Nothobranchius furzeri: one gene and its partner. Each later gene encodes a partner of the first gene's protein in a complex. Links are inferred from orthologs where the notes say so. Each region holds a gene or a part of one and is shown on either strand. Other genes may lie near its edges.

What was found. Proteins that work in one complex are often made in the same cells at the same time.
Region 2: the proteins of pds5b (region 1) and wapla are in contact, whole or in part, in a crystal structure (PDB 5HDT), measured with the Homo sapiens proteins. The link is inferred for Nothobranchius furzeri from reciprocal best matches to the Homo sapiens genes PDS5B and WAPL. Residues at the interface, in NP_055847.1 of Homo sapiens: Gln47, Phe88, Ala92, Pro93, Ala95, Trp137, Val138, Lys139, Ser140, Asn142, Ile143, Phe145, Glu146, Glu187, Gly188, Asp189; in NP_055860.1 of Homo sapiens: Lys7, Thr8, Tyr9, Ser10, Arg11.

What each region holds. Positions count from the first base shown.
Region 1 is NC_091750.1:62,006,413-62,011,415, forward strand, and holds the start of pds5b (sister chromatid cohesion protein PDS5 homolog B), read right to left. Parts: upstream 3,114-5,003; 5' UTR 3,006-3,113; intron 1-3,005. Other genes in the region: zar1l (protein ZAR1-like), read left to right, coding at 4,649-5,003. UniProt on the Homo sapiens protein: Regulator of sister chromatid cohesion in mitosis which may stabilize cohesin complex association with chromatin. May couple sister chromatid cohesion during mitosis to DNA replication.
Region 2 is NC_091752.1:29,580,567-29,585,308, forward strand, and holds the start of wapla (wings apart-like protein homolog), read left to right. Parts: upstream 1-1,377; 5' UTR 1,378-1,590; intron 1,591-2,551; 5' UTR 2,552-2,577; coding exon 2,578-2,965; intron 2,966-3,590; coding exon 3,591-4,293; intron 4,294-4,428; coding exon 4,429-4,730; intron 4,731-4,742. UniProt on the Homo sapiens protein: Regulator of sister chromatid cohesion in mitosis which negatively regulates cohesin association with chromatin. Involved in both sister chromatid cohesion during interphase and sister-chromatid resolution during early stages of mitosis.

The DNA.
Region 1 (5,003 bases):
AGACACTCTGTCTCCAACCACCTCTCAGGCAGCAGCCTGCACTCCCAAGTTCTACACATCACCAGAACATAACCAACCAACACAATAAAAGCAGTGTTATACAAAATGGAAGGCCTGTAGTGTTTATTCTCTTACAGTAACAATTTATCAGTTTTTTGAGGAATTTATTAGATTTTTTGGTTTTTATTAACTGTGCAATAGAAAAATAATCATTAGATTAATTGTCTAAATAGTCATTAGAATAGTCGACTATTCGATAAAATAATCGTCAGAATAATAGTTTTAAAAATAATAGTTTACCCCCAGCAATCATATCAGTAGTACATATATAAAATAATAATCACCAGTCTGTGATAAACACACACACACACACACACACACACGAGAATCCATCACATGACCACAAACTATCAAAAACTGTTTTCTGAAAAGACAACATAATTGTTGCTGCAATAAATTGTTCAGCCTTTGTTCTTGCTAACTGTTCTCCCTTTTGTCTGGTACAAAGACCACTACAAATGATTTAACACTGAAAACAAACCTGAATTTAGGCACTGTACAGGTCAGACTGTGTTTTCACTTTGTTTAATGTTTATTTATCTACTTAAGAAGAAATGAGTTGTCAAATTTAAAGCCTGCATTATAAATGTATTCACGCATCATGACAGTTTTCTGTAGCATCGTTCAAGCTGCAGCAAACACACAAACACAAAGAACAAACACACTCAACATTGGCAGGTTGCCAGATCGTTTGGTTCTGACCTTCTTTTCCACCCCACAGCTGCTGCCAAATTTGAGGCCGTCCCTCCATCGCTGTACGACACTGACACAAGGAGAGCGATCAGCCAATCATGGCAGGCTATTTCCCAAACTCATGTGTGTGTTACCATCCATCAGGCAACATTCCACAAAAGCAGTAGTAAATAATAACAAGGGGGCTAGCTCTACCCCACACTACAGCTTGTCCATGGGCTGCTTTGAGCTCATTACTGGTTTATCACAGTTAAACACATTTACCTCCCTGTGGAGGGTTTCTATCCCACTGCTTCTGCTCTGCCAATTCTGGTCCTTTAAACACAGCTTCAAGCACAACTTTGAAGATCCAAAGAAATTCTCAGTTCCTAATCTGAACAACGACAGATCCGCCCTTCGGTTCGAACTCCAGGGATGATCTTTGGGGAGTGGGTAAGAGCCAACAACAAGAAGGAAGAGTGGACACCAGCTGGCTGCAAGGGTGAACTTAACGACCTCTGTTTGGGCACTCTCAACACGAAAGAAAACTAGCTAGCACTGTTAAAGAGATTGTATTTTCTTGAAATCAAACCAAGCTGAAATTATTTTCAAGGTTTATTTTCAAGAAGGTGCAACCCCCCAATCTAAACATGTGAAGGCTGTCCTAAACAACCACGAGCCAGAGAGGAAAGGTTAACATCAGTCCCACGTTTATACACATGTGATCATGTGGCCATAAATAAAATAGAATTAACCTACAACTCTACTGAATCACTGAATGCTTAATTAAAAAAAACCTATACACACACGCATATATATATATATACTGTTATTAAAAATAGATGGAGACACGTGGAAAACATGCAAGACCAATAACAGCTATAGCAAAATGACTCCTCACATCTTGTAGTTACATTTTATTTAATTGTAGAGTAGCACATAAGCACTGTTACTGTGCTTCATCTACATATAAGTGGACTGACAGAATTGTGCATTCAACACAGTCAGATCACAACAGACAAATAGGAAATAGTGGCAGTAATTGCACTTTTTTCCCCATTCAGAATGTAAAGTAAGGATAAATAGGCAGCTCTAAATAAAAAATTGCCTCCAAAACATTTTTTGAAGCTGTGGTTATATGGTATTTGACAACATCTAATAGCAAATCAAATGGTGTAAGTTACACATAAAAAAACATGACATTCTCTTTGCAGTAGATCTGTATACTCACTCTAGTTTACGGTGGTTTTTATGTAATCAAAATAATGTGTCATGGCCGTATTATCCCATTACCCACAGAGTGTTTTCCCTCCCGTGAATCACTGACAAACCTATAACGTTGATGATTAGCAGTCAAAAACACACAAAGCTGTAAGCGACTTTTAGTATATTATAATGCACTAATTTGATTACTAATGTCATCTTTTCGTGGTGATTTCTCCAAGCATCACCACACAACTCAATAACAATCCATATCGGGTCAGATCACTAAAAAGTAAGCGTGAGCAAAACCAGCTTTAAATTGAGATAAACCGAACATGCAGAAAGTGAATCGCTTTCACGATTACTAAAGGATAAACATCACGCTGTCCAACAACCATTTAGGACGCCAGTTTAACTAGAAAAGACAAAAATGCACCGTACTACATCGTCAGCATCGTCATATCTAAAAATGATGCTAACATGAGATTTAGCCTAATTTAAGGTTATTTGTGAGCGACAGGTTACGAATAGACAAGCGAACATTATGAATGAATGGAGAATACTGATTCACCACCGCAGCATTTAAAGAAGTACGGTCAGTATAATGCTTGACTGACGGTGGCTAACTCAGCTAGCCGGGGTTAGCATGCTCAAGGTAGCATTAGCAGCAGCAATCTCAGTGACAGAGGGCGGACAGATGGCAACGTTGCATGGAACAAAACAGCCCGGATAACAACCGTTACATGGTTCCTACAACCCCGAGCCGAGCCACACCACAAGTCTCGTCACTGCCTGTTCATTCCACTAGAGTCACCGAGCCTAACCAACGAGCTTATATTGTACTGGTCAACCGCGTTTTTGCGCCGCAGAACCAGGTTGAGCAGCGCGGTGGATCGAGCAAAGCAGCCGAGAACACAAGCGACCGAGGCGGGCTGCGCTCCGCCTTTTTAACCGTTTGGAACCAAACGTCTCTACGGGAAAATCCCAACACATACCGATTTATTCGCAGGAGCGATAGGAGATCCTGCCAGTTTAAAACAACGGGTGTGCTTGTTGGTGCCTTTTCTTACCTGTTACCGATGAATAGTGATAAATCGTGTCCTCCTCTGCAGCTCTCTTTCCCCTCCTAGCTCCAAAATGGCGCCAACATGCATAGATTCAGAGCCCATGGGTACAACCCATCCGTGAGTGAGCAGCGCCACCTATAGACGAGTCCACGCAAGTCGTTCTGCTTACATCATGTTTGAATTCAGATTTTTGTAAAATAAAACTGTTTATGAATGGTTTTATAAACAACTCAAACCTTACCTTGTTTAGTGTTTGGGTGTGTAAAAATGATGAAATATTTTATTGAATAAAAGCAACTGCACATTATTTAAATAAGAATACATAGTTTCCTAAAATGTTCAATAGTTTATTATATTTTTCATCAATCTGTTTATTTTTCAGGAGCGCAAAGATGAGCGAAAACCTAAAATTGCACAAAAGATTGTGTATAAATACACTAATAAACCATAGTAGTTTGCCTCGCCTCTGTCAGTGCGCCCCAGGGCAGCTGTGGCTACATTGTTGCTCATCCCCACCAGTGTGTGAATGGATGAACTGTAGTGTAAAGCGCTTTGAAGTCCTTACTGTGAGAGGCGCTATAAGTGCGGGTTGTTTATCATTTAGTTGAACCAAAGTTTTTTATTATTATTCTTTTGAATAAATATAGCTTCGGAAAACAAACACATGTTTTCATTGGTGCAATATATATGTTGCTACTGGTTATTTTCTAAAATCACATTTTAAAAATAACCCTTTATGCATCCTGTAACATTTGTTTTCCTTTTCATAAGTTTATTGGCTACTTCTATTATAATAAACATATGTTTTGTTATTGATTTTAATTTAATAAAAATTAATTTAGAATATTCTACAGAGATTCATTTTCCAACATATTTTCATTGTGTCAAATGGAAGGTGTTTTACAGATGGTTTTGTCTTTTTCATAGTTTTATGGACAGTGTGAACTATAGGGGGCGCTCCAATACAACGTTTCTGATTTACAGACATTTGAGCCTAAATCGAGGCTGCGCAGTGGTTAGAGCTGTTGCCTTGCAGCGAGAATGTCCTGGGTTCGCTTCCCGGCCTGGGATCTTTCTGCATGGAGTTTGAATGTTCTCCATGTGCACGCGTGGGTTCTCTCCGGGTACTCCGGCTTCCTCCCACAGTCCAAAAACATGACTGTTAGGTTAATTGGTCTGTCTAAATTGCCCCAGGTGTGAGTGTGTGTGTGTGTGCATGATTGTTTGCCCTATGTGTCTCTGTGTTGCCCTGCGATGGACTGGCTCTCTGTCCAGGGTGTACCCCGCCTGATTGCCGATTGCCCGCTGGAGATTCCCACCCCCTCCCCCGGCGACCCCACAAGGGCAAGCGGGTTCAGAAAATGAATGTATGAACCTACATCCTTTTGAAAATTTTTAATTACTTATGTCAGAATTACACAGATTTTGTAAAAGCTGCAAAAAGTTTAAAGGTTACCAATGAACATCAGAGACATATAATTTAAAAAAATATATCTGAAATTATTGTTAAATAATTACTAAATTATGTATTTTGTGTGTTTAATTAGAACCTGCACACCTGGGTGTCAATTAACCAATTAAAGTGGCTTGATGGTAACTGCATAAATTCTAAAAGGAGGTGCTTGGATCGGTTTCTTGGCTCTAGGATGGAGGGGTTCCTGCACACGTTTCCGCCCTATAACGCCTATGGGAACCCGGTGTGCGCTCCCCCGGCTCAGGGCAGCAGCTGGGGGAAGAGAGAGGGCCGCTTCATGATCCCTCCGGGCCTCAGCTACCTGGAGCTCTGCAAGACCATCCTGTCCCAAGTCAGTCCCGGCGCACACCCTCCTCCCCCAGCCAGAAAGGAAAACACCAAAGAGTGCGGCGTGCAGGTGAACGCCAAAGTGGATAAAATAGTCCAGTGTTCCTTGGGTCCCAAAACGCTGCTGGTCGACGAGCACCTCGAGAGTCCTGGTCAGGTCAAACCGGAGGAAAAGACGAAGCCCCACACGCCGCCGGTGA
Region 2 (4,742 bases), on another chromosome or scaffold:
GAACATGAAATGCAGCCTAAGTAGACACTAAATAGGGGAAAATGCTCAGCTTATACATGAGAAACCGTTAGTATTGCTGCCATCTGCTGGTTCTGTCTCAGAGTTGCAATTGTCGATTTTACGGATCTTGATTCAGTCTCAAAAGGTTGGAGCAGACACTAAACTCTGTTATTTGGCTTTACCGTGGCACAGATCCCTGACTTATTTGATCAAAGCCTACAAAATATTCAGATTATCACACACATTTTAAAAACTGGACTCAAGCTTTCCTCCAAATAAAGTCATAACTGCCAGACTGCCAAACCACGAGTTCATTATACATGCCATGTCTGTATTGCATCACCATCTCTGGGACCCTGATGTGAACTGACAGCTCCTCTCTGGGTCTAGCTGTAGACAAATGCCAGAAATATGTGAATCTAACACCGTTTGGATACAGCAATGTTTTTAGTAAATGTTGGACAGTTACAAAAACAATTCTGTGACTGAGAAAATCTTTGGTCAAACTGTGATCTATGACTCTTCTGGAAACCAGACACCTTAAAAAGGTGTTGCCACTTTAATGTGCACATTCGCTTCTGGGGGACAACAGAGATCCCACAACATATTTATCTTTCATATACAGAAAATGCATTATTTATTTTTCTTCATGTGAGGAATAATACAACTTTAAGTCCTAAATAACTTTTTGAACGGCGCTCATGTGAAATTAGAATCACCTTCTTTCTGAGTCGTTTCCACAGAGGACCTGTGACCTGAAGGAGTTATCATGTATGTCTAGGATGAGTGATGGTCATTTTAGTGTTGATGTAGTTGTGACCACTTTGTCTTGCTGACCCAGGGCTTAAGTTGTATTTATATTCCAGTTGTGCCCCCTACAGAGTGGTTCTGGTGAATGACTTGCATTTTGGTAAACAAAACAATCAAAGAACTTTAGGTAACCAACACTTACTCTTTTGACTGCTGTTTTACAACCCTAGGTGGGCAATAGTTCATCATTAATAATATTTGAAAAAAACATCTACCATAGAGTAAAATCACCATGGTTTAAAACCATTTGCAAGCTTTAAACCCCAATTTAGCAATTTTCTGCATGTAGCATCGTTACCTGCATTACTCGGCACGGTGTCCAACTTTAAAACTGAACGTGATCCTGCAGCGCCCCCTGTCAGCCTGGTTTTACTTTAAAATTTAAACCAATCAGAGACGCGTATGTTGACACAGTCTCGAGGCACAGGGGAGTGTTCCTGCTGCTGATTGGACAGTTTTTTTTCAACAATGTAGTACGTGATTAGGATGTCTTTCCAACCATCGAGGAGGGAGGGGATATTTTAATGGCCGTCACTTGCACTTAAAAAATACAAAAACTCCGGATTATCAGCTATATTTAGACAAGTACAGCTTCCTATACATTTTAGAACGCCTTTCTTTCGCAATAAACGCAACATCTAAAACATCATTAAATTAGAAATGTGTTTGTAGTGCCTTTTCCGTTGCTCTGAACGGACTTTACCCGCTTGATTTGTGCGTGAGTAGCTGGTTAGGCCTCGCCGGCTGTCTGGAGACGAGACGATTAGCTGGAGTTGAAAGGTAGAAAGTCTTCTTTGCTTTTGCTTTATACTGAATATCATATTAGATGCCAATACTAAAAGCTACCTTATGGGTGCTTGGTCGTGTTTGAAATACGGAGTTTCATGCTTAAAATGGAGCCATGTTAGAAATGTAAACAAGAGTCAGGTTAGCGTAGTTAGCTGTGCGGAAGCTAATAGCTAACTTCACAGTAGTTAACTTTACATGCATGCCTAACTAGTTATCAGGCAGAGACAAGTTACCTACACGGCTAATGTGTGACAAAAGGCCGTGTATTTAACTCCCAAGTTTAATGAAAGTTTATCAAAATCCTTTTTCTCTCGTGTAACCTAGACAAACGACATTCGAAGCTAGAGCTAGCAATGCTAACTTTGTATGCTAGCAACTATCAGTTGACTCAACTAAAACTTGCAGGCAATATTTTGAAAGCATTTTAAGTGTATATATTTTTTTACCTGTCGGTTAGCAAGTAAAATCAATAACATTAGTAAATATATCGATTTCTGAAGTGTCTTGTTATAAAACTTATCTAGGACATATACATTGAAATCCCATTAGGACCTTCAGAATAAGATAACGAACAAGACCGGGTAGTTTTTTGTGAGAAAGTCAAAGAACGAATGGATCGATTGTTGACATTTAGGTAATTCTCTCTATAAATAAAAGTCTAGTTGTTTATAGTTTGTAAAATGTGTTTTAATTTACCCTCAACGCATAAATGACCCCAGTTTTAACCAGAGTAAGAAAAAGTTTGAGATAACAGCTGAAGTCTGAACATTATTTGGAAAAAGAAACTAGTAAGCATCTTGTGACACATGCAGCTTTTTTCATAAACTTAATTTAAAAACATCTAAGATCATTTTTGTTCTTTTAGATGTGCTTGTATGTGAAGGTTCAAATGATCATGTTGTTAACTTAATGCATGTGTTAAATATTGAATGGTCTTTACCTTTATTTACAGAGAATATGTAACAAACAACAACCAGCATGACATCAAGATTTGGTAAAACATACAACCGCAAGGGAGGGGAGGCAAATTCAAAGTTTGAAGAAGTCTTTTCCAATAAAAAGCCCTCTCTGTCCACCAAATGGGGAGAAACTACATACAAGGCTCAGCTGGGAACCAAAAGGCCTCTCTTAAAACCCGGTGTCCCTGAGGTCTCAAAGAGACCCAGGCTTGAGGACAGTGACAATGAAGAAGACCCATTTGGGTTTGACAGCGATGAAGAGTCTAAAACTGTAGCCTCTCACAGTGAGTCTGGTGCGAAACTCATAGAGGAGGGGGTGACAGAAACTGCTCAAGTGCAAAGTAGAGTAACTGCTGCTGTTGTGACTGCCACACAAGGCTCTGCAAGTATACCTGCTACATTCGCAAGTGAGTGACAAAAAATGTTTTATGTTGCATCATTTTCTTTTCACTATCTTTGTCTCTATTTTTTATTCCAATTCTTACACTCAGTTGTGACTTCTATATTATCAGTTCTGGTTCGAGACCAAACTATATATCGGGCCAATATATTAAATTTTTTCTGTACTGTATCGGCCATTAGCCGAAACTATTTTTAAAAGCCAACAAAAAAACAATCAGGCACCTGTGTGGCCAACTACTGCCACTACTAGGCTGAAGAAAGGACCCCAACACACTTATTTATTAATTTTTTTTTTAATATTTTGAGTTTGTTTTGTATTTGAAGTTCAATAAATATTGAGAGTATTATATATTGCACACAGTGAATGTTCAGGTGTCTTTCACAATCATTGTGCTGCTAAAACGTGTATATATACATATATATCTATATATATATATATATATATATATACATATATATATATATATATATATATATATATATATATATATATATATATATATATATATATATATATACACATACATATATCAGCCTTAATAATCAGCTTTAGATAAATATAAACATATCAGTCTGCCTCTAGTCCTGGTCTTTTACTATGATCACTCATAAATTTCTTTACACTTTTAGGTAACCAACCATCAGAGAAGAATGTTAAAAACAACCAGCCCTGGTACAAAAGTGCATTAGAAAGCAATCAGAAACCAGCATGCCCGACCTCGTTTTCAGACACGGTTCTTTCTCAAAACCAGAACATCTCCGTGTCGCAGACAGCTGCTTCCTCTACTTCTGGTTTAGACTCCTCCCTCAAACTGTCAGCTGATGCGCCAGGAGGTAGCAAACACTTTCAAACTCCTTCCTCCTGTGATGGATCTTTATCAGAGGAACTAAAGATGGTGGTGCCCATGGAGCCTCCACCAGAGCCAGTAGACAACATTCCCCCATCGCCATTCACTCTAAGAGCCTCAAACTGCAAGAAATACCAGCGGCCCAGTCGGCCTGATAAAATTCTATCTGAAGTTGCTGAAAACGACAACGAGAAGCTGACCGACATAGCGAGTGTTCAAGATAAAACCAACAGTGTCCTTTCTGCTAGTGCAACTAATACTGCTGCCAGTGTTAAAACAGCAGCTAAGCCTGCAGGCAGAGGTGGTGGGAGGGTGCGAGACTACACAGTTCTGCATCCCTCCTGCGTGTCAGTGTGCAACGTTACTATCCAGGACTCAATTGAGCGGAGCGTTGATGAGTTAGTCCCCCCGGCTACCCCCGCTGACCTTGGAGAAGCAGGGCTTATGAAGAAGAAGTCTGATGCACAGCCACCTAAATCTACTCGGTAAGATGTGTTTTTATCTGTCAGCATTTTAAAATGATTCATAAAGTTGTGATGTTAGTATTCAGTCTGTTTCAAAGAGATTGGACAAATACTTTATTTCTAAATTTACTGTTGTTAATAAATTAATCCTTTTAGGTTTAGACCCACCCAAGCAAAGGTAAAAAAGACTAAAACGGAGACAAAACTGGAGTTCTTTGGCTTTGAGGCGGAAGATGGTGAGCAGGAAGAGGAGAGCTCGGAGAGTGGAATGCCAGGAAAGAGCAGCTACAAGATCAAGTATTTTGGCTTTGATGACCTGAGCGAGAGCGACAGCGATGACGAGAGCTCTCAGGTCAAAGAGAAAAGGGCCAAGAAGGCAGCTTTAGCTTCCCTGAGCTCCGGGGTGGACAGTCCTCACACGAGTGATTCTCAGGACAGTCAAGCCAGCAGCAACACAGGTGAGCAGATGA